4 linked regions of the Struthio camelus genome follow. The protein of the gene in region 2 interacts with the protein of the main gene of each other region in a pairwise test. Links are inferred from orthologs where the notes say so. Each region holds a gene or a part of one and is shown on either strand. Other genes may lie near its edges. The genes, in order: ZCCHC10, STAC3, MAB21L3 and PPARA.

Region 1 (7,474 bases), on a different chromosome or scaffold from region 2:
CTGCGAATGCTGTAATTGCTGTAATTTATTTCCACCTTCTACCATTTTTCCAACACCAAAACATTCATTCCGCAAGGGCAGCCCATCTAAACGATCTGAAATTAACAGCTCTGTCTCAGATAGGGGGAAGCTCCTCGACTGTACATTTAGTATTTAGAGAGTGCAGTGTGACAGACCAATAGTGAACGCTCTGCCCTCAGAAGGGGTGGAGTGCTGCTCTTCAAGATAACGTATGAATTGCAGTCTCCTTCAACTCTAGCTCCTTGTAACAGCTGTGTTGTATCTTGATTAGTCCTGTTATGAACATCCATCCTGCTTTCAATGCCAAGTTTATTTGGCTTCATAGTCTAGCCTTAGAAACATTGATGTAAATCAGGACTAAAGAACTAATTAAACTTGCAATCAACTCTGCACAATTAACTCTGACTTCAACAGGAAACAACACTTTTAGTCCTGAGGGGAAAAAACAAAAACAAAACCCACACACAAGGTCTTGTGAATGGTTTAAGTTCCATCTTCTTCCTGTGTCCTAAAAGACATCTTGAACAATACACAAAACTCTTCTGAATGCCTGCAAAAGAGTATCTGAATAACCGTCACACTGTGCAAGATGCACTTTGCCTTAAACAAAATAGTACCTCATTTAGACCATAAGTCCACTTGTTTATGTTAAACAAAAAACAAACACAGAAAAGGTTTTTAAAGACCAGAACTTTAGCTCATTTCAATCAACAAATAAAACTGTAGAACAAGTGAGGTTCTAGATAGCAAAGGGATAAGCAACAGACTGTAAGTGTGGTACTTAGACAAACATAAGCAAAATATTCCTGAATGGTTACAAACTATACTTAAAACACTGCTGCTGATGAGCAGCGCTCCTCCGGGTGCATCTAAGGATGCCCAAACATTAACCACCTCACACTCCAGCACCCTTGAAAGAAGAGGTTAAAGTACAAATAATGTAACAGGTGCTTTGAAAGGCTTCATAAAATTAAAAAATGTTTAGTTGTGGGCCTGCTCTTAAAATAAATGAAGTATACCACATGTGCTGCAGGGAAATTGATTTAAGTTTCATACACACACACACACACAAAAATCATCCCTTTTTCTTTTCCTTTCCAAATAACATTCAGGTAGGTTTAAGGCTGTACCCTAACACTAAGGACAGAAACACGATGTTTCACTTCGTCAGGTATGCTCAAAACATGTTACTGTTTTTATATACCTATTATTCATTCACACAAGAACGCAGCAAGCTTTAGCATGTAGGAAAGTTTACACTGAGAAGACAAATACAAGTGAACTACTGCAACAAAAACTTTTTTAAACACACAAACTACATTTACATTTTGATTTTTGCTAGTATTAAACCACTGCAAAGAAAACTGGGACAAAACCGGTAACTTATTTCTTTACTAGGAAAGCGTCCGGTGTAATTCTTGCCTTGGACTTCTGACTCTGATGCAGTCATTACACATGAGCAGAACGAGAACTCTCTCATCCTCTTAATCAAGATAGAAAAACATTTACGTTTTGTTGCTTTGTATCTCAGGCCAGCCCAGACCATAGGAACAGAATGGGCAGTCAAAGCAACAATAATATAATTCAGCATTTCCAAGGCTTTAATGCTATTCACCTGACCGATGTAGACAATTCTATGCAAACTAAAATGTTAAGATAAAATCCTAAAAGCAATATAATAAGCAATTACAGGAAGTAATAATTACTTATTAATTATTAATAATTAGGAAGAACAGATCAAAATAGCTCAAGAACTACAGATTTGTAAAGACAGTGTCAACACTGACAAGTTTTAACAGTAATTAAAAGCTCAAGACTAAAACAAACTTTTCACACAGATCAATTATCACAACCTAGAAGCAAGTCTTGGCAGACGTACAACTCAGCAATTCTCATCAAGCACATGGAGAAATAACACGCACTAAGAAATCATTCTATGACCAATATAAAATAGCAACTTAAAAAAAACAAGTATTCTGCAAGTACTTTGACATTCCAAGTATATTTTCCATTGGAAAGTAAGAAACGAATTATACTAGCTAATGAAAAAGTAAAGAGGCAGCAAAAACCATCCATATTGTTTCTAATGCTATGATCAGCCAAAAAAATCCCTAAGAACAAACCCCCTCCCTAAAAACCCAAAAACTCAAAACACGGCAGTAGAACACAGGCATCTGCTTTACTTAATGTCAGTAATCAAAAAACATTGGCTTTTCCTCATTTCAGCATTTGGCAATCAGATCTCCCCGATATTTAGAGAATCACCCAAAAGCAATAAGCATAACTGAGTAAAGGGTGCTTGCTTTCTCCCCTCCCCACCCCGGGTTTTTTTTTTAGTAATTTACTAAACATATTATAATGTGAAGCCAGAAATTATTTGGTCCCCCCCACACCTGACTGACAAGAGTGACACGATAAGACCTGTGCCTACCTGCATCACAAGGTCTTATACGCTTCACTGAAAGGGACGACATGCTAAACCCATAAGGCAGCCTTTTCCCAAATAGTTGCTAACTGGCGTTAACAGCAACGAAAGGGAAAGTTTTAGTCAATGGGGAGATTGCCTTTCCTTTTCAGGAATCCTGCTTTCATTTTTGATCATTTCACTGTAATGATTTTATTAATTCTTTAAATCACCATAACTCCCTACAACAGAGGGAGAAAACCTCCTGCACTCTGCTGCAGAGGACACACACAATTTTTGGTTTTTTGTTTTGTTTTTAAACAAGAAAGCAAACATAAGCTTATGTTTGCTATCTCAAGTCCCTCTAAAGCCTCCACCTTGCGCAAGATGGAGCCAGAAATCACTAATTCCGCAACTCTTACAAAAAACACGGGACCCTTCAGGTTCAGGGAGCCCAAAACACCATATACGGTCTTAACCCTGTCAGCTCCGAAACGAAGAGAGTCTCAGCCCGGTTAACAGGATGAGCCAAGCCTCACTTGGGAGCGTTTCCCTTACCCACCCGCAGCACCACGCTGCCAACAGCGGGGCACCCGTGAAGGGCGTCTGCTCTGCACGAAACTGCCCCAAAAGAGAGCCGGGGGGCCCCACAGCCGGGGGGAGGGCAGGGGAGGCCCCCGCTCGGGGAACCCACGGCCAGAGCCCCCGCCCCGGCTCCGCAGCCGCCCCTCGGCCGCTCCCCCGCCTCGGGGCGCCTCTCGGCCGCCCGCCGCACTCACGCCTGTCTCCGAGCGATGAGTCGGTGCATGGGAGTCGCCATCTTAGCGGCCCGGGCGGGAAGTGAGGCGGGCTGCCGCGCTGCATGCCGGGCCACTGCCTCCTCCTCCTCCTCCCTCCCTATTGGGTAGGACGGCGTCGCTGCCATGGAGAGCGAGGCATCCCGCGGCCAGAGAGGACGCACCGCGAGGACCGCCGCTCCGCTCGTCTCGTCTCCTCCCGCGTTGTCATGGTGCCCGCGGGATGCCGGAAGTGCCGGCCCCGGCGGCCCCGGCCAACCGCCGCCTCGGGGCCTCGCCGCCATCTTCCACCCTTCATCGCCCCCAGGAACCTGCCTCCCAGTTAATAGCTTTTCTTTTTCTTAGGATGGGTGTATTTGAAATATCTAAACCCAGCAGCAGACAACCCATCCCTCACTATGACCGGAGGGCACCAGCTGCAGAGCCTGCGACCCCATCCTGTCACCCAGCACCAACACAGAGCCCCTGGCGCCGTCCCGTCACCCAGCACCAACACACAGAGCCTGTAGAGCCTGCGACCCCATCCCGTCACCCAGCACCACCGCAGAGCCCCTGATGCCATCCCGTCACCTAACGCTAACCACAGAGCCGGTGACATGGTGCCGCTGAAAAATTTCTTGAGCCACTGAGCTGGCCCGTCTGTTGTTGCAAGAGTTGGGCAATTTTACTTTTCTTCCTTCACATAAGCAGTCCAGCACACCTAAAGGTAGCCTGCTATGAGTTCCCAAGAACCTTTAGGTACGTGAAAAGTTTGAAAGCGTAATAGCTCTCTGGTTATACCATGAAGGAGCCCAAGAAACGTTCGCAAGAGCTAGATCTCAGAAAGGAGCAGTTTAACCAATTAGTACTGCTAAAACGTTGCAAGCGTTTACCAGCACATTCATTTGTAGCAGCTCAGGTTTCTATACCCTGCACTGATAGAAAAAGAACGTCTCAGAATAACTGAAAAGATTAATTCTGCTACACACGTGGATGCATAACCATGGCTCAATAATACATTAAATACGAATCACTTTTCAGAGACTGGAGATGCTGATAAGTCATGTTGACCCTGCATGAGTCAATGTGTTCTGTGTTTGACGGTAAATACAGTTCAGATATATCTAGGAATCATAAGGCAAATGTCTTTCCTCCACCCCACTCAGCCCAAGAGGGTGAAGTCCCCCAGCTGTGCCAACAGCAGCTGTTATTTTTGGCTCCTACGTCACCTCCTTACAGCCTCTGGCATAGGAGGAGAGGTCAAGGGACAGAAGAAAAGAAGAGCAGTGGCTGAGCTTTCTGACTGTGCAGAGCTGGCAGGCAGCCCCGTGGGAGTCTTTGCCAGCTGGCCCAGGTAGAGCAGCCCTTATCCTAAATTCAGGGAAGCAGGGAATTTGGTTTAATATATTTGCCTCTTAATTGCTGTATCGAAACTTATCGTTGTCTCATGAGATCAGTGTTAAAATAATATATGGATCTGCATTACAAAAATCCTCAAGGAAACAGATTTTTTAATGCTGAGCTGGGATTTCTCCTAACATTAGTATCCTGGAAGCACATCATATCTAGCCGTTTTCAGTATTCATTCAGCACTATCATATCATATGGATGACTGACATTAGTTAAACAGCTGTTCCACTGGGCTTTTACATTTGCTGAAATTTATGGACTGCTACCAATTTATAGTGGTTTATTATCAGCTATGTAGCTTTTTAAAGTGTGCTTCCTGTGAGTCGGTGGCATTCATTTAATATATAATACAAAAACATGCATTATATTTTCTTAAGTTAATTAGAATCCAACTGTACCAGTTGGATCAGGACCATACTCTGTTAGGAACTGTAGAAATACAATAAAAGACAGCCCTTGCTCAGAAAAGCTTACGCTTATCTCAAGTCAAGGTAGAAGGGTGGGAACATTGCACAACAGAATTTGTGGGGAGGGAAAATAGGAATGTAACAGAAGTGAGAACACATGCCTATATAAGTTTATATTTTAAAGTAAGTCACAGACATATAAGAAAAAATATATTTATCTGTCATATTTAATATAGCAATAAGATTGTGCTATGTTTTCGCTCCTGTACAGTGTTCCACCAACAATCAATATGCTTCTGCATCATTCTTTCAGGTAACACAACATTTATAAGCTACTACTTTTCTGATAAATCTGATGCTTTAACATGATGAGTATCCCAGGTCTTATTTGAATTAGCAGGCATGAGGCAGAGAGGTCCTACACTTCTGATGGTGCAAGATCAGGACACAGCCAGGAGATACTAGAGCCAGAACTTCCTGCTGCGTGTCACACGTAATACTGGTAATCACAGCGATGGTAACAACAACATCTGCTGAGTTCAATGGCATCAATTAAATATCTCACTGGAAAGGTAAGTATCTTTACTGAGGGATTCTGTTAGATGTAAATGACTTCAACTCACCAGAACTAATTACTGTGTGACTAATTGTTGAGTATTATGGTAGTTCCTGTCCCCAAACACTGTAATTGTAATGTCTTAGGTTAGTGGCTGTTACTCTGTGCATCCTATTTTCTTCTATATCTGGCACTTTGTCTGGTATCTAATCATCGTCCTGTTTCTGATGATTCTCTGTGATAACCTGTGATTAGTCATATCTGACAGCTTAGCTAAATTCTGATGTGTGATACCTGGCATGTTATAAATGATTGTTCTCCGCAGCATAGAGTTTGGCTGCAGTATTTGAATCTTGATGTCTGGCATCTCACTTTTATTGGAGAAAGTAAGACAGAAGAATTTCCTGTTTTAGGACTGTTCTAAGACATGTTCTCAGAAAAGCGAAATAGCTGAGAGTAGGTATTTATAATAATCTATGCTTTATAATAAATTCCTGTCTGTTGATCCTTTTTTTACCTGAGTATCACTTAAAATCTTAGAGTAAATTATAAACTGATAACAACATCTATGTTATACTTAATACCATTTAGATTGTCCCTAGTACCTGTGTGTTAATGCAGCAGAGCTAAATTTCCCTAAATTTGCCAGTATAACAAGGTTTCTGACTTCAGAAGCAAAAAATTCTCCATAGAGTAGATAGGCTTTTCCTTATACAGAGACTTCAAAGATATAACTTTTATTAAAACAATCCACTTAAAATATTTCTACCTGAGGCAATGTGAAAGTATTCTTGTGACTACAAAGTCTGCAGGTTACTGCAGACTTTTTTGAACCCAAAACAGGATCTCACAGCCTCTCTTTCCGTTCAGAGGTAATTCACCAGGGCACTGATTAACATACCAGAGAAGGTGACTTCAAGCGCCCTCCAGACTGAATGTGCAGAGTCACTGCACAGCCCTGGGCTCACTCGCAAGGGCTGGGGACGGTTCAGGGGAGCTGCTGCTACTCAATGAACTGACTGTGCCCATAAATCCTGCCTTTGCACATTAGGTTGCTATTTAAAGTTGCAGTATCATTAACCTGTTTCTAAATATGCTGGGCAAGGAAATTACTTTCCAAAATGTGCCCCGCTCTACACAGCAGAGGGAGGAGGTACACAGACGACACAGGAGACAAATCTGGGGAAAGCATTGAAGCTTCAGTGACACAGACTTTGAGCCGCTGTGTGTCAGCCCATCAGAGAGACTGTTTACGCTACGGTTTCACCCCAGCACTTTTCTGTGCAAACGTACTGCTTATGAAGAAAAGGTGTCACGTTAGTTGTTCAGGGACTGTACACCGAACAGGAGAAATGTAGTCAGAACCAACATACCTCCCTTTCCACGGCTTAGGAAGAGCTTATGTCATGAATAAATGGTTAAACCTCCATTGCCAAGGCTGCTGTCTTCTAATCCCGGTTACCCAAAACTGTGATGAATCTTCCAAAATGACTAACAGTCAAGTAGTTAATAGTGCTAATGCTGAACGAAAATAATGACAAACCAGGAGCACTAGAGACAATGTTACTTGACGTTTTAAAATTCTGTATTCTCCTCCCAAGCTCTCTTTAAGAAAATATCCAAAGAGAAGCCAGTCATATCACATATTCCTTCCTGAAAAAATTAGAAATTAAAGCACAATCCAAAGCGGACATAGATATTAAAAAGACATTCACACTGATTACCATATTCCTGTTTATAGAACTGTTAGCATTTTCAGCATGAGTAAAAAATAAAAGGCAGAGAGAGGGAGAGAGAAACACAGAAGGTCCTTATTCAGGCAAGACTGTAGGGCAGAAAAAAACCTCAGTGATAAGGAATACAGTAAATAGACTTGAATCACACCCTGTCTGCAATATAT
Region 2 (8,096 bases):
ATGCAGCTGAATGTACCCAATGGCCCCCAGCCCCCCCAGAACCCCCCCGTGGTGCAGTGGAGCCACTGTAAGTACTACAGCCTGGACCAGCGGGGGCAGAAGCCAGGAGACCTGTACAACCCAGACACCAGTGCTCAGGTATTGAGAGGACTGGGAAGAAGGCAGCTCATCTTTTAGGAGCAGCCTGGTGGGAGAAAGAGGTCCCCCGCATCCACACTGTCTGGATGGGCTGGGAGAAGGGGGTGGGCTCAACCCATGGTGGTGAGACAGGCATGGGGCCGGTAACAAGCACTGGGGGTGTCTAACCCTCTCCCTCCCCCAGGCCAGCGCCCAGTTGAACAGCCCCATCACGTCCCCCACCCAATCCCCGACGCCGTCTCCTGTCACCAGCCTCAACAGTGTCTGCACAGGGCTGAGCCCCCTCCCGGTCCTCACACAGTTCCCCCGGCCCATGGGCCCGGCACAAGGTAAGGGGAAGGCGTGGGAACAGCACAGGGCTGGGTCTTTCCTGTGGCTCCCTTAGCCCCCTACAAATGTTTGCTTCTATTTTGCAGGTGATGGGCGCTACTCGTTGCTGGGCCAGCCGCTGCAATATAATCTGTCTATCTGTCCCCCGCCCCTGCTCCACAACCAGCCTAACTACAGTGCACACCAGGTAAGGTTGGGCCAGACCCCCACCCCTCTCTTCCTGTCCTGGGAGCAGACCAAGACCCCCAGAGCACCCCTCTCTGGGCAGAGCCCAGGGCTGAGCAGGGTAGTTCAGAAGTGAGCCTGACATCCCACCTTGCGCTCGGGTGCCCCTGGATTGGGTAGCAGGTTGCCTGCCCCATGCTGTTACCAGCCATACAGCAGGGCTGCCATCATAAACAGTTTTCCCTGGAGCCTGACACTGTGCTGAAATTTCACCCTGCTCCCAGCTTTGCCCAGGAGCGATGTCAGCCCCAGGTCCTTTGAGTGTCCTGGAACCATGCCTGTGCCCTGGTCTCATCCAACCTCCCCAAGCCACCATGGCATCATCCCAAAAGTGCCGGGAGTGCAAGGATCATCCAATGTCTCCATTCCCCTTCACAGCTGTGGCCTCATCATGTTTGGTCTTGTCTGCCCCTCCCAGGATGCTCTGTCGGCACTGTGACGCCACAGTGTCCCCTCAGGTGACATGTTACCATTTTTACTCTTTAAGGGACAGACTGGAATGAAACATGGAAATCGGGGCAAGAGACAAGCCCTCAAGTCGGCATCCACTGATCTTGGGACAAGTGATGTAGGCAAGTGATCCTCCTCCAGCAGCTCCCCCATTGCCCTCCGCCAAGTCCCTGCTGCACAGGTGCAGCTGGCACTGGCAGAGACTCCGGTCCCCTCTCTGCTCACACTGACATCCCCCAGGATCCATTGCTGGGGGTGGTTGTGGAGGACCGTTCCTGCCCTCTGCCCCGCTCCCCCGAAATACCCCCGGAGCCCATGCAAGGCCTGGCTGGGGGGGTGGGCGCAGAGCCAGTCCTGGTGAGCTGTACCCCGTGGGAGGGCAGCTGAGGAACCCGGTTAGATGCTGCCTGCACTGACCAAAGCTTTTGAGGAAGAGTGGGGAGATATTTCTGGGGAGTCAGTGATGAGCACCAGGACACCTGGGCCCTATTCCTACCTCTGTGAGGCCTGAAGTCTGGCAGGGTGTGGAGCAGGTGGGGCTGGCAGGCAGAACTCCTGGCAGCTTTTCCTAGTTGTCAGCAGAAAGCGACTGTCCAGGCCCATGAGATCTTATTCCTACCGTTGACTTCCTAAGTGACCCTTCTCTTTCATGCCTCAGTTTCCCAGTGGGGGTAGGTGTTGCACAGTCCCCATATTTGTGGGGCTTTGGGATCTTCCATGGGCAGCTGCCGGGCTGAAATCCCCAGTGGATTGTTTCTCTCCAAGGAGGAAGGACTCCCCCTGTTCCTCTCCTCAGGGCAGGAGTCTCCTCTTGCTCGTGTCAGGGAGGGGAGGAGAGGCACAGGACTGGCTATTCCCCGCAGCAAATGCAGGACCCGCTAATTGGGCATGAGCCCGACAGGCTGGAAGAGAGACAGTCTTCCTTGGCTCTCTGGAGGCTTCAGAGTTGTTGTCTCCCATGTCACCTCTGTGTCACCACCACCAACGGCAGCTGTTTGCAGGGGGCCCTTTAAGAGTTGCTTCCCGGCGAGCTGGCCCCCTCCCTGCCACAGGGAAGCAGCTGGCATGTTTGTTACATGCCGTGTTAATATTAGCAAAGAATCCGTTTAGCCAGGCCTCTGCTAAGCCCCAAAGCTGGAGTGAAGCCCCAAAGAGCTGGAGCCAGGAGGCAGCAGGGGTGTTTGGGTACCACAGAGCAGAGGCACAGAGGTTGACGTGACACTGGCCTGGGCGCAGGAAGGGATCCTCCTCGTGACAAAGCACACAGGGAAAGGTCACATTCAGCGTGCAACTGCCATCCCTGGGGTAGCCTGCCTGGGGGCAGAGGGCAGCAGTGCTGGGTTAGGTCCCCTCCTGGTACCCAGGATTAGGATAAGAAAGCAGGAGAGAGCACCCGGGAAAGCCCTAACTGGAAAGCCAAGCCCAATCAAAGGGATCAAGGAGGGCTTGGTGCTGCTAGAGCCTTGGGCAAACAGAAAATATCTGTCTCCTCTTGAAGCGGGGCACATGGGGACCAGGGTGGGAGTATCAGAAATGATTGGGACAGGCACTGTAGGGACCAGGAAGATGGGGGCAGTTTGAAGGGGAAGAAGTGACTAATTAGAAGAAATATCCCTGATGTGGGACCAGCTTAGCAAAGCTCTGCTTTCATGGGCCAAGTAGAGATGACTGCTCCCATCCCAGAGCTGGTGAGGAAACCGGACATCAGCTCCCACCATGCTGTCACCACCCGAGGTCCTGTGGCCAACACATGCTATCTTTCCACTGCAGTTCTTGGCCGAGTGCTGGAGGTGACGGACCTGCCCGAGGGCATCACGCGGACAGAGGCTGACAAGCTCTTTACCCAGCTCGCCATGGCTGGTGCCAAAATCCAGTGGCTCAAAGAGACTCAGGGGCGGCGTGGAGATGGGGGCGGTGGGGACAACAACGGGACTCCAGAGAACGGCAGGCACACTGACCTTGCTGCCTTATACACCATTGTGGCCGTGTTCCCCAGCCCGCTGGCCGCCCAGAACGCCTCCCTCCGCCTCAACAACTCCCTCAGCCGCTTCAAGCTGCGTGTGGCCAAAAAGAACTACGACTTGCGGGTGCTGGAGCGTGCCAGCTCGCAGTAGGGCTCATGTATGGGCACAGAGCACACTGGACTGCGGGCGCTTCCCTCTGCCTTCTCTCTTCCTTTCTGCCCTCCCTTCCTCTCACCCTCCTTCCTGGATATATTTATATGGACATAATTAAGAGACAAGAAATTGATTTTTTTTTTTAATTTTTGGAGTGATGCCCATGCCCGCCCACCCTACCCTGTGTATATTGTTTTGTTAAGCACTGTGTTGAACCGCACATACAGGTGTTGATTGGTATGTTCACTGCACATTTTATTTAATCTGATTATTATTTGGGGTTTTTTTTTTGTTTTTGTTTTATTTGAGGGGGGGGTGTTTTTAAATATAAAAAGAAAACTTGTCCGTCACTTTAATGCTGCTTTCCCGTTCTCTGCTGGCGCCAGCGCTCGGTGCAGGCTGGCAGCAGGGCCTGTCCTGTCCCCTTCCTCAGGGTGAGATGGCAGTCAGGGCATACACAGGAGTGCGTCCCGGCACGGGGCCTGCTCCACCCCAGCATACGCAGAGGGTGCGTCCTCGTTGCTCTGCGGAGGCTGGGAGAGGAGCACGGAGCATTTTGAGCTGGGGCTGGTCACCCTTCAGATGTTCATAGCCTCTTCTTCCCAGCTGCCGGCCCCGGGCTGCCTGCGATGGCAAGGAGGGTATGCCCCCAGCTACGTTCCCTGCCAGGGTGAACACATTTCTCCTGGGTGAAGGGGAGCTGCCCTTGAGCTGCTAGGTGTCCTCCTACCGCAGGGGTACAGGAGTTGGGCTGGCACCAGCCTCGCCATGGCGTTGCATGCGGCAGCCCTTGGAGCTTCCTGCGGTGTCCAGAGCCAACCTTGGAGCATGGGTGCAGGGGGAGAGGTAAGAGCTGCTTGGAGGGTGTGGGGGGCCTTGGTGCAAACCCTGCCCCTCTGCCACCCACAGCCAGGCAGGGACATAGCTCCAGGGGCTCTGGCACTGGGGGCCCACCCAGCTCCTGGGATCCAGCCCCTGCTGCGGGGCAGCACAGTAGGGGTCGGGTCCCCAGCTCGCTCCTCAGTGGCTGCTTCCTGTGGGGCAGCGGTGAGCGTTGAGCTGGTGAGCGTTGAGCGCGGGACCCTTGGCGGCACCTCTTCCTTCCCGCCTGCAGTGGCCTCCAATGCGAGGGCAAACAGGACAGCAAGGCTGGAGCGCTCAGCATGCCCCCGCGCTGCTGCTGCCCCATGCCAGGGGTGGGAGGGTCGCTGTGACGCCCAGCAACCCACTAACGCAAATAGCCAGCAGCTCCTCTCCACCCCGCTCCCCTCCCGGCTCGCGCACGGGCTCCAATTTCTCGGTGTCAGCCTCCGCCAGCGCTCAGCTGTCGGTTCCCCTCTGGCCTGTCACTCGGGTGCTCCGCAGCGCTGGGCAGCTGCCCCCTCCCTGCACACCCGGCCCTGGGGCTGGGGGCTCTGTGGCCCAAGGGGCCTCGGCGCCAGCCCCCCGGCAGCAAGCCCGCCACCAGCTTTGCGCGGTGTTTCATCACGGGACGCAAGCTCTGAACGTGGTGTAAGTGCAAAGCGCGGCTCCGCGTGTGGCTCCCCTTACCCAGCAGCCACTGACCCTGCTGGGCCCCTGCGCCACTGCTGGACCCCGGACCCCCCAGACCTCCCTGCCGAGCCTGTGGCCCCAGGAGTCCCCAGCCCCCCCCCCCCGCTGTCTCCTGCATGCTTGTCCTGTCGCTTTCCAGGGAGGACGGGGGTCTTGTGTTAACGGTAGCACCAAAAATAGTGACGCCTGGGTGGAAGGGCTCTGAGGATGGTCGACAGACAAAGGTGGCGTCAGGTGGGTTTTGGGGGTGCAGGAGCAGATCTGCTCCCTTGGTAGCACTGGGTTTCCATGGAAGAAAAGGCAGGGCTGTGCCCTGGTGCCAGACAGCGCCATGGGTACTCTTGTTCTGGCCAGCCAAGTGTGGCACCATTTGCCGTTTAATCTCGAGACGGAGGTGTCTGGGCAGAGACGGGCACATGCAGGTAGCTCAGGGGCTGCTGGCAGCCACATCCGCGAAGCAGCAGGGACGGTGAGGAGCAGCGCTGTGGTGCTGGGCCGGGAGCAGAGCCCACCACGTGCACAGCCCCTGCAGCAGGGCTGGGCAGCCTCCTGAGGGGCCAAGCCCGGCAGCCCCCCGGCAGTGGTCTGGGCCGGTGCTGGGGCAGGGCAGCAGGGAGCTGGGTGCAAGTAGGGCAGAGGGAGGCACTGGCCCGGGAACTGCTTTCCATCCAGCCAGGTCTGATCCCCGGGGGCTGCCGAGGCCACAGGCCGCTGCTGCCCTGGCTGAGGCTCTGCAGTGGGGGCAGCCCCAGTCGAGACGATGTCTTTGTCTTCCCCTTGTAGCATGACAGAGAAGGAGGTGCCAGAGCCACCAGCTTCATCTGCCTCAGGTGGGAAACCCAAGAGCCGGGTAAGTGGATGCCTGCAGATCAGCTTGGGTGAGAGGGGGAATCCACCTTCCCCACATGGTCTCTGCCTCAGGCCCAGGACCCTCTGTGGGGCCAGGGGTGCCCTGGTGGTATCTGCTTGAGTGGAGCACTATATGGGCATTGCCCAGCCTAGCTTTGCCCCAAGGTGCCTACATCCATGTGGTGCCCAGGACTTGCAACCTGCCCCTTGTGGGGGGACCCCACTAGGCAGAGAGAGGGTCCCTGTGCCCACCACACTGCACCCAGGACATCTGGGTTCTCCCCCCACCTGGTGAGGGAGGTTGTAGGTCAGAGCAAAGGGGCTGGGAGCTGGGCACCGGCTCCTTCCTGTTTTCCTCGCCCCCTGCGCCTGCAGTGCGCCCTGCAGCCTCTCCTGCTCCAGCAGCTGCAGAAGCTGAAGCAACTTTTCCGGCGAAAGCCCAAGGAGGAGACGGCACCGGAGCCACAGCCGAATGGGGAGCTGGTCAGCCCCTCCGGGAGGCCCATCTACTACATCTATGAGGACGAGGAGGAGGAAGAGGAGGAGGAGCCCGAGCCTCCTCCCGAGCCCCAGAAACTTGTCAATGACAAACCCCACAAGTTCAAGGATCATTACTTCAAAAAGCCCAAGTTCTGTGACGTTTGTGCCCGCATGATTGTCCGTGAGTCGCGGGGGCACTGGGCTTGGGGCCACAGGCTGGGGGCCAGGGCTGGGCCAGGGCTCCAGCCCTGCCACGCCTGCAGCCCTGGGGTCACATCATCTCTCTCCCCCCCCTCCACCCACCAGTCAACAACAAATTTGGCCTGAGGTGCAAGAACTGCAAAACCAATATTCACCACCACTGCCAGTCCTACGTGGAGATGCAACGCTGCTTTGGCAAAATCGTGAGTGCTCATGCCGGTGCGGTCCCGGCCCTGTGGGAAGGACCCGGGGGCAGCACCACCAGCTGGGCATCTGCCCTCCAGGTCCTTCGCGCCCACCCATTGCCCCCTTAGCTCGCCAGTGGCAGGCTGTGCTCTGACCCCCTCCTCCTCCTCCTTGCAGCCACCAGGCTTTCGCCGAGCATACAGCTCGCCCCTGTATAGCGACCAGCAGTATGCCTGCGTCAAGGAGCTGCTCTGTAAGTACTGACTTCATGCCTGGGGCGGGCGGTGGGGGGAATCTCCCCACACCCCCTCACTGAGCCCCTCTCACTCCATCTGTGCCCCAGCAGCAGCCAACAGGAGCGACCCAGTGTTTGAGACCCTCCGGACGGGCGTCATCATGGCCAACAAAGAGCGCAAGAAAGGGCAAGACGACAAGAAAAACGTGAGTGCAGGGTGGGCCTGTTACTCTGAGCCGGCCTGGGCGCCTGCCCACCCCTCAGCCCCTGACTGCTCTCTGCCTTGCAGCCGCTGGCAGCTATGATGGATGAGGAACCCGAGGCCATGAAGGCAGCTGGGGGCAAAAGCGAGGGCGGTGAGTGCTGCGAGCAGGCAGGGCTGGGGCTGCAGGGCTGTGCTCCCCCCGAGGGTGCGGGACGGGGAGCCCACTGGGGTGGGCTTCACCCCGAAGAGGGGCCCTAAGTCCAGGTCTCGCCCCAGGGCTCTCTGCAGGCACGGGAGGTCCCCAAGGGCAGGCTGGTGCTGCGGTGGGGAAGAGCAGCACAAGAGAGGTGACCCTTTTTCTCCTGTTTTCAGGCACCTCCGAAGGGGACAAGAAGGCGGAGAAGAGCACAGCAGATGACAAGGTAGCCCTCTTCCTCACCCCGTACCCAACGGTGCCCGGGCTACCCCCGGCCCCCCAGCCTCTGAGCCCCTCTCTCCTGCCCCCCAGAACAAGAAGCCACAGCAGGGGATGCGCAGCGGCTATCTGCAGTCTCACTACTTCGTGGCGCTTTATCGCTTCAAAGCCCTGGAGAAAGACGACCTGGATTTCCCGTGAGTTCCCAGCCAGGACGGGGGCGTGCGCTGGGGAGGGGGGTAAGTCTTCACCTCAGCAAGGCCCTCGGGCCCAGAGGGTGCTGTGAACGAACAAGGGCAGAAATCAGCAGTGCTGGCTGCGGTTTGGGGTTTGTGGCTTTTCTGCCCCGATTAGCCGTGCAGAGACAACGAGCCCTGGCTCTGGCCGAGCCACCTTCCTCCCCAGCTTCCAGCCTTTGTGCACAAACCGCATTTCCGAGGCTACTGCTGTTTTACGTGGCACTGCCGATTTCTTGCACCCCAAGCTGAGGCCAAGCTGCTCACGCAAGGGACCCGTCCTGCCCATGAGCCCAGGGGCTGTGCGCACCCCCCAGGGACCCCCCCCCGCCCCCAGCACAGGGCTCTCAGAGCTGAAGCTGTGGGAAGAGTAATTTTCCTTGCCAGTCACAGGGTCTACATCTGAGAGTGCTCTTCCCTCCCTTTGCAGGCCAGGAGAGAAGATCACGGTGGTGGATGACTCCAACGAGGAGTG
Region 3 (7,593 bases), on a different chromosome or scaffold from region 2:
CCCATCTGAAACATGCGATTGCCATGCACCTGGTTACAGGAGCCATTGCTAACGGTATGCTGACAAAACCTTTCTTTAACCTGTTTCCATCTTCTCCTGTCTATCCTATCCTCACTGTCCAGTTAGCTCAGGCAGGGTAAAATTGTTCTAAATTATCACCATCTGTTGTTACTCGCTCCCCTTCACCCTTCAGACAAGTTTTGTGCCATACGGCCATCAAGCTGCCCTCTTGCACCTCCCTGCTGCCCCATACTTAAGCACCTCCATCTCTTCTCTTTTAGCAGTTTCAGAGCCTTAAACCTGCAGCCAATTAACAGCTTGTATCTCCCCAGTAACACTACTTCCTGCCCCTTCAGGCTAAGCACCCATAAATCCAGGTGAAGCTCTGAAGAGACTTCACTGTTAATGATGCTGGAGATGATAACAAAAAAGAAGTCATAGAAAGCTGTGCCTCTGGGTGCATGTGAACCTAGAGGAGTCTTCCTGTGTAATCTCCTGCTTGGCCTGTTACTCTGCTCTGCTGAGTATTAACTAAAATGTACCATGCTCTGCTTACCATCTGCCATGCCTCCCTTCTCTTGCTGTTATCCCTTTGGGGTAGCAGCCCTTGGCATCCCACAAGAAAGAAACACCTGACCCCGTACTGCCCAAAGCAATTGCATGAACAGTGTTGTTTTTTCTTTCCCTCCTTTGAGCTTAAACATGGGGTTTTAAACATGCCCTACTATGTAAGTGTTTAGAAATCTGCATCAACTTCAGCCTCTTGGTTGGTGCTAGCCAAGAATAAGGGGAATTATCTGTAGTAATTCTCTAGTATTGAACGCTGCTGAGACTTCACATGTCCCTTGTCAATCAATTAAAATATCTCTTTGTGTTTTTGTTAGGTGTTTCACATTCCTCAAAACGCAATTCAGTATCTGATTAGGGGTCTGATTGGGACTACTGATTAGCTGTATGTTTGATATCTATTGGCTGTGTGTGTGAGATGGCACAAGCCAAGAAGTTTAGTCTGACAGCTTTTACAGTAGATCGGCCCATACAAGGTAACTGAAATTTTAAAGCACCAAGTAACTTAATTGATAGTAATATTAATATTTATCTCAGTGGCTCTGGGTCTATTGCACTCCAGAGCCACAAGGACCCAGAACCTTGTGAAGACTCTTACCTCTCCCATATATGCTCTTGATGAATGTGTAGTTAAGAGAAAAAGCAGTGATAGAGAAAAATATCATTTGCAGATGCTTGGAAACAGTCTGGTGAAATATTTGGTTTAAATCTTGCTGATGCACCAAACTTGCCCTGTTTCAATAAACTTCCAGAGGACTGCAAATGGGTTTAGAATTTAAAATGTCGATTTTCCTGCTCAGCATGTCAGGCGAGTGACCTTGGCAGCTGATGCTGCCAAGACTCCTAGGTTCCTGGCCCCTGTGCCATCCACTGCGCTGACCATTATGGACTTGGAAAATTCTAGGCTTCTTGAGTAGCTCACCACACTGGGTGCCAAAGACCTTAGCAATAAGTGCTAGGAAGCACTGGTATATGTTTTATGTTTGCTACTCTGTGGCCTGCTTCATAACGGCAGCTGCACAACTGACTGGATTCTTGTGAATTTGCCAGTTGAGGCTGGTCAGTGGTGGGCAACAGCATCATAATCTCAGTTAGTTTTCAGAATTTCCTGCATCCTCTGCTAGCGATCCTGGAGCGAATACTTTCTCTGAAAGTGCCAAATTGCTGCCTGAAAAGATTCAGGTTGTAAATTATTTTGATGGGAATTTCAAAACTCTTCCCAAGTTGAGATAACTCCTTTTCCAGCAAAAGCTAGTTGCTTTTTTTCTGACATGTCTGTTCTGGCCAGTGAATGGAGAAAAGATGCCAGTCTTGATAAACCACTGGACCTGATCCAATGCAGTCAATGGTTTGCTTAGTTTGGAAAGGTTATAAACCTTTTATTTACTTGATGTGAACTGCAGGCCCAAGGCTAGTGTGAGACTGTGTGGCAATGAGAACAAGCAGTGCAGGCATTTTTGAGCCCGCCAAGTATCGATCAGTGAGGTTCAGGAATGAGTAGAGCATTTCAATTTGGCATCCACGCGTGATTCTGATCTGTCACAGTGAATTAGCAGCACTTCCCCTCTAGTCCATCCCAGGCTTTTGTCATTGAAACATCCTCTTTGCCATATCTATTTGTTAAAAGACAAAGTGAAAAAACAAACTCACAGAACTTGTGCCCCAGAAAGCCCTGATTATGTTATGCTAGTGTCCTCTGAATGGTGACTCTGAACAATACCGAAGCGTCACTGCTAAAAACCATTAGAGCATAAATGTTATAGAGGATCCAAGCTACACTTACTTATTTTGTACAGTCACTTAATCCACTAATGGGGAGAAATGGGGCAGCAGTTTAAGAAAGCAAGAGGACTGTCAGGGATTATTAGATCTACTGGACTGATTTGTTTTGGTAGTCTCTCATGCGCCAAGTACAGCTTCAGCCAGTGCCTTAATAGCCTTAGACTTAATGCTTCTGGTAATTAGAGCAAAAAGTGATGAGGCATCATTAGCAACTGCAAATTAAGAGTTGTATTTCATCTGGAAGGCAGCATCTTCAACTGGGCTTATTTGTTACCCTGCAGATCCTCTGTGAGCCACAAGTGGTACATTGGACTGGTTCATTTGTATGATTTAGGAGAGGCTTTTTAATACGTGCTTACTGTTCCATATGAGTGGTTTTTCCAGATAGCTGTCAAACAGAAAATGCCACAGTATTGGACTTCCCCGTACAGCTGATACTTCTGCTATTATTTACATGATGTTGATGGCTTTTTGTTGTGCAGTTCAGAGTTCAGATGATATTTGATTGTAGGTTTGAGGCATATTTGTCATATTTATGAAACTAAACAGTGAAAAGAGGAAAATCAGACAAGCATGGAAAGCATCAGTAATTTGCAGTTTCAGGAGATACAAGAGTGAATCTAACACTGTTCAAGGTATGTATTCACAGAATATTTTTCTGTGGATTTCCCAGATCCACAATCATATTCAGTTCTGGATATTGCCCAAGACAAGAATGAAGATGAAATATCACAGATTCAGTGAAGTTGGAGGTAATAGGAAATCCTTAAACCCGCTTTGAAGAATACCAGTGAGCAACTGAGAAAACTAAATAAATCCTCAGACTTCACTAGGTACAAAGGAAAGTAGTCACAAATTAAACTCCATTAGAGGTACTATGAGCTGGGCACTGACGCACTGAAATAAAACAAAGGAGGGATGTAATATAGTTGACTAATTTTCCTACGTAGTTTCCTACCGTTTTCTTGCATAAGCACCGTCAGGAGAGAAGCTCCCTGAGGAGGACCTGGAGCATGGGTTTGTTCTTGCAGTTTTAGTGGTTAATGGAAAAAAATCCTGGATATCCTGAGCCTTGAGTGGGGCGAACTGAAAAAGCCATGATTGCTGACTGAAGATAGATGAAGGTTTCAGTGCAGTGACCCTGGAAATGGTTCTGCAAATGATACTGGAGAAGCTTGGCTTCTTCATGCTTTGGGTCTATGCCCTTTAATCTCTGCAGAAGTTTCTCTCTCTGCACTGTCCTTTCTCCCTTTCTCCTGATACAGTTTTTTTCCTACCTTAATATTCCCTTCCCACGTGGCGGTCTTCCTCTTCTTTTCTCCTGTGTTTTGTGCTATGTGGTGCTCATGTAACAGATGAAGGCCCTTGTGATGTGTTTATTCCTCAGTGAGGTCAAGATGGGGTGCTGTCTCCCGTAACACCAAGCTGCTTTTCCCTTTGCAGTAGCAGCTTTTGCCATTCTAATTTGTACTGTATTTTGCTGTTGGTGTAAGGGCCTTTGCTGGATGTAGTATTTTCTGTCTGTCAAACAGTAATCTTCTGATCCTAGGAGTAGCATGATAAAATCCACAGGGACTCAGTGCAGGTTATTCAGCTGCCATCTGCTACAATCTTCTGCAGCCAGTTCTTGTAACAGACTGTCTGTCTGTCTGTCTGTCTGTCTTTCTTTCTATTTATTTATTTATTTAGAGCTGAACAAATTATGAAGTAGCAGTTTCTTATGGCTGGAGCAAGGAGTGCTCAGAGTTGAGAAGAACCTGCTATTGACACTATCTTTGATACTGTCTTTCATGTTTCTTTTTTCTCAGCCTTCTCCCCCTTCTCTTCTTTTGCAATGATCTTAAGGGAACGTTATTTACTCTCATGAGATAGCAGGAGCAGGGAGGGACTGTGGGACTGTTGCTCAGGTCCTTGGATTTGAACATAAATTTGGACTTGGATTTAAATATGCTTGGACATTAAAAAAAACGAAACAAACCTTGCCCAAGACCTAATGCCATCCTCCTTCACTATGGGAAGGGGAGCTGGGACCATCCAGACCCTCCTGGAGATATGTTTCCCAATGGAAAAGGATGATAAAGATCAAGTATCTTACTGTGTACAAGCAAAATGACCAGAGCTGCTTCTTCATGTGTCTGCCAGCACCTGAGGCTTTGGACAGCTGTCAGAAGAAGAGACCATATAGGTGCAAGAAACTGAGAATCTTAACCTCTCCCCGCTTCCTAACACTCATCTGAGGTTCTGGGTTTTAAAGTAGTGTATGGTACCAGAAACATTAAGGAACTTGACTTCTGTATGTAAATCTAGCAGCCTGAGGGGGCGCATGGGAATTAATGTAATAAGGGCATACTTTTAACTGAGCTTGACCACTTAAAAGGCTCCTTCTCCTCCCTTGCACACTCTATTTGGGGTTAATCCCATGCAACCTGGCTTTACAAATCCTTCCTAATCTACTGTTCCATGCACTGTCTCTCAGATCCTGCCACTAGCCTGGCTTCCCCAGCAAAGGTCACGTACGCTGCTAAATGTTCAGGTGAAAGATAAGGTGGAAGGTAAGTCGTGAAGTGAACAAGGATGGGGTAGGGACCCTGAAAATTGGAGGCCTAATCTTTTTCAGTGTCCAACTCCCGTGGAAGGTGGTTGGAAGGAAATCCCTACAAGTCTTTGTGAACCTGTCACCAAATCTCTCAGGAAAAAGACAATGGAAGATGCCCTGGGAGACACGGAGAAAGGTTTGATTTGTAGATTCTGGGGGATCGGATGTCCTGCAGGTACTGGTGCACCATTGATGTAGGTAGCATTTCACTATTAATAAGGAACAACAGTCATAAAGAATGACCAGCAGCAAAGAGCCTGCTCTGAGATAGCACCCAGTGCCTACCCAAGTGCTGTTTTTTTCAGCTGCTGTAGAGCTAATGAATCAGTCAAGGGATATCAGTGAGTTCAACTTCCAGGGGGAAATAATGATTTTACTAAAATATGGCATGTGCCTATTTACTAAAATATGGCATGTCCCTAGCAAGGGCTGCTTTGCAGTATAGAATATCGTCTCTATACTCTGTCACTCCTTTCCATGTGCTGATGTATCCTTTCTTCTAAAATCCACCAACCCTCGTTGGATCAATGAGGCCTGATCAATTGTTTTTCCCTCTGAATGATGCATGTGGGGTTGTTAGCTGAGCTGCTGGCAGCTAACTAGCGACAGTTTTCTGTCTGTTTACTGTAAAGGGAGCAAAGCAAACTACAGGAGGGGACAGGCTGCAAGATATTTACTGTCAATACAGTTGGAGAGAGAGAGGAGATATAAGGAGACAGGAGCAGAGACTGCAGACTGCAACCCAAATAAGTGATCTGAGTGTAAAAATACCCATGCGGTTTCAAAAGGAAAGTGGGTGGATTGAAGTCAACAAGGGGTAGCTGAGTATTTAACAAATGGTTTAGTAAAAGGCTAGAGAGAGCAGGGAAGTACTTGTGGCACACAGAATAATAATGCTGCGCACGAGCGTAGTGACTCTGAAACACGCTTCTAGATCTGCCCAGAGACAAAACAGTAACTGGGCTATTTTTGTAAGTTCCTGTAAGTCCCAGCATTTAAAAGTAGTGATAATAAGAATAATAATGATTGAGCTTAACAAATAATATTTGGACCTAGTTTTCCTAGGCAGCTGGAAGTCACCACTATAACTCCAACCAGAAGAAAATAGGCATATTTCCTTGCTTTTCTCTCCTCTTCTTCATTCACAGAGGAATTAAGTGACGTGAGCTTCACAGGGCAAGAAGGCTCTGAGCAGCAAGCTCTGAATGTCCCTCTACTTCCAGAGCCAGGCGAATGAGTGAGGAGTGAATTCACACTTTAGAGAACAGCGAAGACAATCTTGCCATGAAACCATTCACAGATGAAGAAGTAGAAATTTACATCCAAAGCAAGGTAAGGCTTTATCTGTCCAGATTTTATCTCCCACGCTAGGTGTTGATTCTGAAGGGTGCTAATCTCAAGAGTTAGTTGCTTGCCTGCTGTTTTCCTTTATGAGATGAGACTGGGTGAAATTTCATGAGAATTGTATTTCTAGTGAGATTTCTAGGTTTCCACTGCAGAATGTTGCCAGGGATCTCAGCTGATAATCTAACTTCTTAAGGTGGTTGTCCTGTTTTTCTTCACATCTTGAGTTTTTGCTCCCCATCTTGAAATCTAGATGTGAAACTAGCTATAATTGCAAAGTCTTAATCTAAGGTATGGTCCTTACTCCCTTCCCTGTCCAATGGTCTTAGCTTGATACAGACGAGACCAAAACTGCAACAACAGGGATTGCCTCTAAGAAAGATGCAGGTAGGAACGCGGCTGAGACGGACACAGAATTCACCCACCAGTCTATCACCTCAGCTAAGGATACTTCTTTATATACCAGCACTAAAATAGCTTAAGTCTCATTAGTGGAGGCAAGTGGGAACCACATTTTCTATTTTATGAAGTGTTCCAGCAATCTAATGTTTTTTCCACTATGAAATTAGGTAAAATAAAAATCATCAGTGAAACTATTCTTTTTACTAAAAGTTATTCAGAATGAGTTGTAATATTTTATTTTGTTAAAGCTGATATAGTTCATCACAGTGTTTAGCTGGTTTCTGTTTGATAGTCTGTTTTCCCCTACAAAATGCAAGACAGTGAAGTGAAAAACCATTTCAAAATGAAAAACTATAAAGCTTTATTTTCTGAAAAGGATAACATATTCCAGTATCATGAAGGCGCTCGGGGCAAAGCTTTAGTTTGTCTGTGGAAATGTTTTGGTTACAAGTAGGTGTATTTCTGTAAAAACCTTCATTTTCAGCCGTGTATTTTCCCGTGGAAGATCATGCCATCAGAACCTAGTCAGCCAGCTACAAGAGCGAACACTTATCTGAAGATTTATAAAGCAGGGCTACAAAGGAGGGATCAGAGGGAAGCCATGCACAGGAGGATGTTCATATGACTGCCATAAGTACAGGGAACAGAGACAGAGTATAGTTAAGTGAGGCTCACTGGTGCCAATATTTTAGGTTCTACCAAAAGCACACCACCGTGAGAGTATCTTTTCCAGTAGCCCTCCAGCTCTGATGGCTCCTTAGTTTCTGCCAGCTCCCGAGTCTCCTGTACAAGTGAGACTGCCCAACCTTCAGGCAGCCCTGCTCTGCCTGTAAAATTCTACCTGTTTTTCAAAATTAGGTCAACCACCAGGTGCAACAGATCTCTCTGGTACCAAAGATTTG
Region 4 (7,522 bases), on a different chromosome or scaffold from region 2:
AGACAAAAAAAAAAAAAAAAAAAAAAAGAAAAAGGTTCTCCTTGACCCCTTGACCACCCCAGATCAACAGTGAGCACTATAATCCATTTTCTGGAACAAGATGAATATCTTAGGCCATGTGTCCTACACTGCTGTAGGATATTACCATCTTCTGTAATATTTTAAAATATTTTAAATATTGAATTTTTAAATATGTTGTAATATTTAAAACATAACCATACAAAATCACAACTGCAATGCAACGACTTTTTCCATGGTTAAAAATTCACTATTCCCTTTGAGGGGATTGCATTTTTGAGGGATAAAAACAGAAAAAAAGATGACAGCAAAGAAATACTGAAATGCAAGGGAGAAAAATACAAGTTTTCATGACGTACAAGATCATAATAGGTAATCAAAACTCCCTAGGCCACTTGATTATAGAGGATGAGATTCAATATAAAGCATCAGGAGATTGATAAGAACTTTTTTTTGGACGATGTCAAGTGCTCCTTCCATACACGGAAAAAGAAAAAGAGCCTGCTGTCTACACAGTTCTACAAACGTCTGATAAGGTCAGTTCACACACTCATCCTTCCGAAATACATTGTGCTACTTAAATCCAAAAAGTTGCCATTAAAAGTAACTAGCAGCCAAAGGCTGTTTGATAGCTCACGGGAAATAACAAAATTATGATACTGGTTTAGCTCTGAGTGGACTTGTGACCACATCACAGGAACCACCACTGCTGTCAGTTTCAGTATGAGAGCAGGTATCCTCAGTATTAACATAGCGGTTCAAAATTTGAAAAGGATTGACTTTGCTGCCTGGAAAAAAAAAGCAAGTTTCAGCCCGATATTTAGTGTTAGATACTTATAAGAAAGTTTGTTCGTGTTCTACAATACAAGAACAGGTTGATGAAACCTTTGCTTCCCAGCAAAACTTATGCAACTTCTTCATGTGTGCAGTACTTCTATGACATCCAATGCCACAGAAGTGTCAGACATCATTATTTCAAATAATCCTGTCCTCACACATCTTCCATTTGAGAGCTTAGAAATAGCTACTCACACCAGTGAGATGGGGCTAATCTTAATATGAATAGACAAGGCCATTTCCAACTTAAAAACAAGACCTTTTAACACTTCTTTCCATTTCTATGTGAATGCTATCTTTTCCACTCTTTCAGAAAACAAGTGGACAGGCCTATAGGGACAATCAAGAACACGTTTTTCTTGTCAAACCACAAAAACAAATCTAGGGGGAGCTGCCACTGACCCACTCCTCCGTCCAAGGATAAATCCGGCCAATTGCATGGTAAAAGCACAACCTGTCTGAAGGATAACCTCCAAACACCTTATCTTCCATCCGGCGCATATGTTGCTTTCTCAAACTAGGTAAGGACAATTTATATGTGCTGTGTTCAGGAGATACTGCAACAGCAAAAAAGCACTTTTTAAAAGACAGGACTTCTCTTTCTCTCCCTCTCTCTCTTCCCCTTCCCCCAACACCCTGAAGTCTCCCCATAAAGTTTCCCAGATTGCTCTTTAGCCATAAACACTAACCTCTGCCAGGGCTGGTTCCTGCTGGTTCTTTAACCCCTGTGACCTCGGGGCGCCTCCCACCGCGGCTCCCCACACAGGCAAAGCGGAGGCGTGAAGCCCGAGCGCAGCAACAGTAATGGCTAAAGCATCTCCCCAAACCAGCTAACTCTCTCTCCTCGCCTTTGCCACCGCCGCCACCACGGGTTTGCAGAACGTTTCAAAACACAACGACCAAAAAAAAAAAAGGGGGGGGGGAGGGAAGGAAGACCAAGTCGTTAGCTCAACTGCCGCCGTTTTAGCGAGACAGAGACCCCGCTCCCACTGCCCGTGCCCCCTCCCCGCCGAAGCCCAAGCGAGGGACGCAGGCAGGCTCTGCGCTGCCGACGCTAATACCGTGCATTACTGCCGGCCGGCGGGCAGGCGGCTCGGCGCTGCTGCCCGCAGACGCCGGCGGCCCATGAGCGGAGCGGGGCAGGGCAGGGCCAGGCCGGGTCGGGTCGGCGCCGCCGCGTCCCCGGCCGCAATCCGCCGCGGGAGGCGCGCAGGGCTCGGCTCGGCTCGGCTCGCCCGCGCCAACCGCCGCGGCCAGCGCGGGCGCACCCCCTCGCCGCCGGCGGCCGCCCAGCGCGCACACCCCAACGGGGCAGGGAGGGGGGGGCAGAAGTACCCCAATCCCGAGTCTGACTGACGCGGGGCGGCAGGGTGACAGGTACCGGAAGTGAGGTCGCGGCACACACCTCCCACAATGGCCGCCTGCTATTGGCTCCGCGGGGAGAAACCTGTGGAGGGGGGAGGAGGGCGGAGGCCTCCGCGCGCCCCCCGCACCCCACCCCCCGCCGCCGTGACCCCCCACCCCCCACCCCGCGGGAGACTCACCCGGCGATGAGCTGAAACCAAAAAACGAAGAAATAAGAGGGAAAAGCCCAACGGGAAAACGCGCCCGGGGCAGCCCGGCGGGTACGGTCCCGTGCCGCCCTCGCCGCCAGCGCACCGCGGTCGCCCGCGGTAACGGCCGCCCGCGCCGCCCCTCAGGGCCCCGGCGGCGACGCTCACCGCCCCCCGGAGCGCGGGGCGGGGGGAGGAGGGGGGAAGCCGAGCCCGGCCCGCCCGCAAGCTTCGGTCAAGGGCAAAGAAAACGCGAGAGAGTCAAGAGACAAACCGGCGCTGGCTGAGCGGGCGAAGGCATCTGCCCGGGAACAAAGTCTGGGCTGGCTCTGCCTGCCTCTTATCCGCCCGCCGAGCTATTTGCGGAGCGCGGCGGCCAGGTCGCGGCGCTCACGTGAAGGAGCGGCGCACGCAGCGCTGCCCGGTCACACGCAGAGGTAGCGGGGCCGGGGCCGGGGCCGGCGCCTCATCCCCGGTCACGCGTGAGGCGAGCGCCCAGCGCCTGCCCGCCGGTCCCCTCCCTCCTCCCCCCACCCCTCCGCCGCCACGCCGCGCGCTGGCCCCGGCGGCCGTTGGTCCCCGGCGGCCGTTGGTCCCCGCCGCGCAGCGGGCGCTCGCGGGGGACGGGGGCTCCCCAGGGCTCACCGCCCCGGCACGGCTCGGCCCGCCGCGGGCCGGCAGGGCGCTGACATTGCCCGGGCACCTATGTGTTTTTTTTTTTTTAAAAACCTGTGGCGCGGGAGGGTCCGCTGTTGGTGGGGAGGTCGAGCCGCCGACCCAGCTCCGTCCCGAGTCCGGGCCGCTTGCACTGGAAAAGCTGGGGCTCGCCTTTGATGCGGAGCACCGTCAGGAAACGGGGTACCACCGGGTTGGGTGTGCTGCCTGGGGCACAGCAGCAGCGGCCCGGGCGGCTCGGCGTTACAGGCTGACAGGGCGGCCCACTCCAGCGGCATCCTCCTGACCCACGCGCCGGATGGAGGCTGCTGGCTACCTGCAGCTGTTTTTTTTTTTTTTAAGGGGTATTATTTAGTTTAGAAAGTTATTACAGGGAACAGCTACCAAAAAACAAACACACACACACACACACACACAAAACCCCTAGAAAACAACACACACACCCACAAAACACAAAATCCTCCACAAAACACAAAATCCTGAAGAAAAATTGTCTGTACATGACTGATTTCTTCAGTCTCTCAGGGACTGAAGGTCTTCAAAAGGCACCCAAAAGTATAAATACATTGTTTTTAAAAGATAATCCTTTTTTTTCTTTCTTTTTAACAGAAATTTCTACTCTTTGACTGCTTCATGGATATCACATTTCTTGATTATCCTCCTGGCCATCATCAATTTTTTAATTGCATTTTTACTTTTATTTTATCATTCCATTTGAAAGAAAAGGCACCTTATTGTTGACTAGATCAGTCTTTACGTGGATGCCAATACGAGAAAACATGACCTATTTCAGATGTTTCTGATATGAACCTCTTCTATGCCTAGCAAGCCTACACACATAGGTTTTGCTTATTTTTACCCTTTCACAGAATCATAGTTTGTGGCCATTCAGAAGGGAGACACATAGGACCAGAAAGGAAGAAAAGGAAACTCTGTCCTGGAAACTCAGTCTGTACTACTGCAAGCATCATATTTAATTCCATAAATTTCTCAACCTTGAGCTCAAACACACAGATCTGCACATTAGAGCGTTCAATGTAGAATCATCAGTAATGACAGAAGATGAAAAACATCCAGAAAGCATATCTCAGTATAGATCAATAAAACATAGTATCAACAGCAGAAAATAGAAGCTAACGAAAGCCCTTATTTACAGTAATTCAAGTTTCTTTCCAAAATATTTCAAAATGCTATATTGGCTCTGGTAACAAGCTGACTTCTACTGATTAGTAGTGCTGCTCCAATTTCTACCCCAAGGCAGGCCAACACCCAATGCCACAAGCATTCAGCTGCTTTAAAAAGTTAACGTCCAAGTTTACACCTACATATCCCACCCCACAGACGATGTGTAATACAGCTCAGCCAGCAACAAGGATCAGGGCCTATTTCCATAAAAGATGTTATCCGAGCAGGTGTGCTTTTCATTCCGTTCGGTTTTATTTCTTTTCTTGTTTTTATTTTATTTTTCCTGAAAATATACACAAACAGAAAGAATACAGTTAAAAAACATATATATAATGTTTTAATTTGCATGTGTAATCAGCCCTTAAAGATGTTTCCCCCTTGCTTTGTCAAGGAAGCTGTGGAGAGCACAAACACTTTCCTTTGATTTCCGTATTGAACTTTTGGACGAGATTTAGGTGGTCATTTTGCATACATACTTCTACTGTTGTTACCAAAGATGGCATTGTACGAACACTATAGTGAAATTCCCGGGCGGGGGGACCCCCCCCCCCCCCCACACACACACACTTAGCAAGGTTGTGGGCTTTTGCCATTGGAAGTTACAAATTTGAGAGATCTACCACGGTCGGGACTTAGTCATTTCTAGTGAGAACACCTCCACACTGTGGGCTTTTTCCTAGCTAAAGAGATCAGCTCTCTTTTTGAGGCTCAAATAGACATTTCATATACCTCGCCCAGGGTCACACAGTAACACTAAATTAACCCAAAATGCAGTAAAAATACAAAAATAATTTTTTGTGATTTAGAATGAGTTGTGGGCTGTTTCCTGTTTATAAGCTATAGATTACCCATCCCACACTACCTGATAACCAGACTCTTAACAACCTATGTCTCCAGCAGAATCAGCTAAGGTGACTGTGTTATCCAAGACCTGGAGAGGAAGTTTGTTAAGTCCTATTTTGGAACTGTTTTCTCTTAAACAAGTTACATAAATTTTGTCCATAAATATGGCTGGTGTTGCAGAAAATACCTATAATAAAGATGGAAAACTTATCTCACATTTAACAGCTTTAGTCAAGAGACCATACTGAATCCTTTTGTACATAAAGCCCTTTTAAAATGTAGATTATTGATTTGATTGCATAAATTCATATCACAGTTCAGATCTTAATAACACACTAAGTATCATAAACATCCATTAGCTATTTAAATGTGCCAACTTTTAGAAATCTGAAATTAGGTTGCTTACTAGGCTTTTAGATGAAATAAGCTTTAATTAGTGTTCTATTCTGTTAATATGCACTAATCATATTAATATTGCTTAATAGATTGACAGTTGTGAAACAGGCAGACAGACTTATGCAGTAGCTGATTTTCCATCTTTCCAGTATCCAGCTGGTTTTGTCATAGATCTTAACAGTGACAAGTAGCATTTCTGTAATAAAATGGGGTGGGGTTTTTTTTTTGCAAGTTTTAATCAAAATATACTGAATATTGTAACATTTATGACTGTAGAAGTAGATTAACAGTTCAATTCAGGACAAGGCACAAACTCATTCATAAGTTTGGAAAATGGACTATAACAGCAAAAATTCGCTATGCTTTCACCACCTCCTCCAACTACTGGCAAAATGCAGGAAGTGGGCTGACCCTGCGTTCAAATATTTGCTGTGGTTTCTCCTGCTGATCTGATGATAGGAATTTTAACAGACAATGTGCCTCATTTTTGCTGTGTCATCATGAAGGACCTTCCTAACAAAGTCATTATTTTAAGTAAAATAGATCCTTCCCATATAAGTATATACTTCAGCAGCAACTGTAGAGACCAGACATAGTACCCAGCATTTTATAAGCTGAAATGCCATATATTTGGTCCTGTTTCTCTTTTTTTGACTGCTGAAGTTTTAATGAACTGACATTTATTTACTGAAGTAAAATTACTTTAATTTTATCACATTCTTATTCTTCAAAGAATTTAAGTGGCCAGACTGTCACAACAGAACAAGTTTTATGAATAGACGTCATTAACGGAAGCATATAGAAAACACCAGAGCGTTATTTAAGACTTTTTGTGCATGCTGAATCCTGCACATTTGTGATTGGTCAAAATAATTTGAATTCAAAGGCTCCAGGTAATAATGAACGGAAGTAGATTATATTTGATTTATTTCAGTTAATATGTGAGTTACTTGCAAACACAGTATTTTTTATTGTTGTTTTTGTTATTACTGTTAAAAAAATAGCTCTCCCTCTCCAAATCAACCCCCTTAAAAACACCCAGACTGGTGAAGCAGAGGAGACCGGTGAGATCTATGTACCCTGACCCTCCTTTATGCCTACAGTTCAGTCCTTGTGTAGCAGCAGTTTTCTTCGGGAAACTCCTGCACTGCTTCATTTTGTTGTTCTGGAGCAAGCTGGCTTTAAGGTTTGGTTTTAGGTACATGTCTCTATGTTGGATTAGACCAAAGTTCTAAGACTAAGAGTGATAAATGAAAACATTTTAAGATAAATTAGATCAGGCTCATCTGCCTCATTTCGACATGACAGGTTATGGATAGAACCAGGATTCAGGTTATACATTTACACAAGTCTATTTTGCCACAAAATTATCTCAATATCAGATTTTTTTTAAATCTATGTCAAGATTTCATTTTCCATCAAAATAAGTGATTAAAGTCGTTACTTGTATTTCACTTTCATAAGAGATGTTTACCATGCCATTTCATCAGTGTAAGATATGGATTCAATCATTCAGATCATTTTTATCCATCAGAAATATCCTGTCTGGAAATGGCATTACTCATTACTCTCTACTTACTAGAGAAATAACTCATTATCTGTCAGAGTATCAAGATCAAACATTCCAGATGTCAATCCCCCTCTTCCTGTGGCAAGAAGAGTAAGAACAGTTGTATATAAGATGATGGTGCTTTAAACTTATCAATTAACCCTTCATAGCCCACAATGTGTAGAATTTCTCTGATAACTTATATGCTTTTTATGCTGGTACATTGGCAGCAATGATGAGAACTGTTAGATTAAATTTTTCTTAATGTGATCAGGCTCTCCACCCATCATTACATCTTTTTCACTTCTCCATTTCAATTAAAAAGTATTCTTCTAAGGAAAAACTGCTACTGGTGAACAAGCACCTTTCTTACACTGATCGAGGAAGTACACATTGAGAGTAAATTAAAGGAGATGGAGAAAACAGTACCCCCTCCACACTCTTTCTGAAGGCGAGCCCACACTTG

The links.
Region 1: the proteins of STAC3 (region 2) and ZCCHC10 interact in binary tests that used the Homo sapiens proteins (3 or more experiments, as listed by UniProt). The two-hybrid records come from large-scale screens. The link is inferred for Struthio camelus from reciprocal best matches to the Homo sapiens genes STAC3 and ZCCHC10.
Region 3: the proteins of STAC3 (region 2) and MAB21L3 interact in binary tests that used the Homo sapiens proteins (3 or more experiments, as listed by UniProt). The two-hybrid records come from large-scale screens. The link is inferred for Struthio camelus from reciprocal best matches to the Homo sapiens genes STAC3 and MAB21L3.
Region 4: the proteins of STAC3 (region 2) and PPARA interact in a two-hybrid assay, tested with the Homo sapiens proteins (2 studies listed by BioGRID). The two-hybrid records come from large-scale screens. The link is inferred for Struthio camelus from reciprocal best matches to the Homo sapiens genes STAC3 and PPARA.

Annotation. Positions count from the first base shown.
Region 1 is NC_090954.1:2,126,418-2,133,891, reverse strand, and holds the start of ZCCHC10 (zinc finger CCHC domain-containing protein 10), read right to left. Parts: upstream 3,418-7,474; 5' UTR 3,351-3,417; coding exon 3,205-3,350; intron 1-3,204.
Region 2 is NC_090969.1:147,205-155,300, forward strand, and holds the start of STAC3 (SH3 and cysteine-rich domain-containing protein 3), read left to right. Parts: upstream 1-4,692; 5' UTR 4,693-4,772; intron 4,773-5,597; 5' UTR 5,598-5,598; coding exon 5,599-5,664; intron 5,665-6,068; coding exon 6,069-6,324; intron 6,325-6,449; coding exon 6,450-6,547; intron 6,548-6,707; coding exon 6,708-6,783; intron 6,784-6,876; coding exon 6,877-6,971; intron 6,972-7,054; coding exon 7,055-7,121; intron 7,122-7,342; coding exon 7,343-7,392; intron 7,393-7,478; coding exon 7,479-7,582; intron 7,583-8,051; coding exon 8,052-8,096. Other genes in the region: R3HDM2 (R3H domain-containing protein 2), read left to right, coding at 1-138, 323-467, 555-655, 1,181-1,265, 2,914-3,257. UniProt on the Homo sapiens protein: Required for normal excitation-contraction coupling in skeletal muscle and for normal muscle contraction in response to membrane depolarization. Required for normal Ca(2+) release from the sarcplasmic reticulum, which ultimately leads to muscle contraction.
Region 3 is NC_090942.1:93,554,321-93,561,913, reverse strand, and holds the start of MAB21L3 (protein mab-21-like 3), read left to right. Parts: upstream 1-4,208; 5' UTR 4,209-6,229; coding exon 6,230-6,277; intron 6,278-7,593.
Region 4 is NC_090942.1:80,656,511-80,664,032, reverse strand, and holds the start of PPARA (peroxisome proliferator-activated receptor alpha), read right to left. Parts: upstream 3,388-7,522; 5' UTR 3,138-3,387; intron 2,941-3,137; exon of another isoform or gene 2,683-2,940; intron 2,590-2,682; exon of another isoform or gene 2,191-2,589; intron 2,107-2,190; exon of another isoform or gene 1,917-2,106; intron 1,704-1,916; exon of another isoform or gene 1,545-1,703; intron 1-1,544. UniProt on the Homo sapiens protein: Ligand-activated transcription factor. Key regulator of lipid metabolism. Activated by the endogenous ligand 1-palmitoyl-2-oleoyl-sn-glycerol-3-phosphocholine (16:0/18:1-GPC). Activated by oleylethanolamide, a naturally occurring lipid that regulates satiety.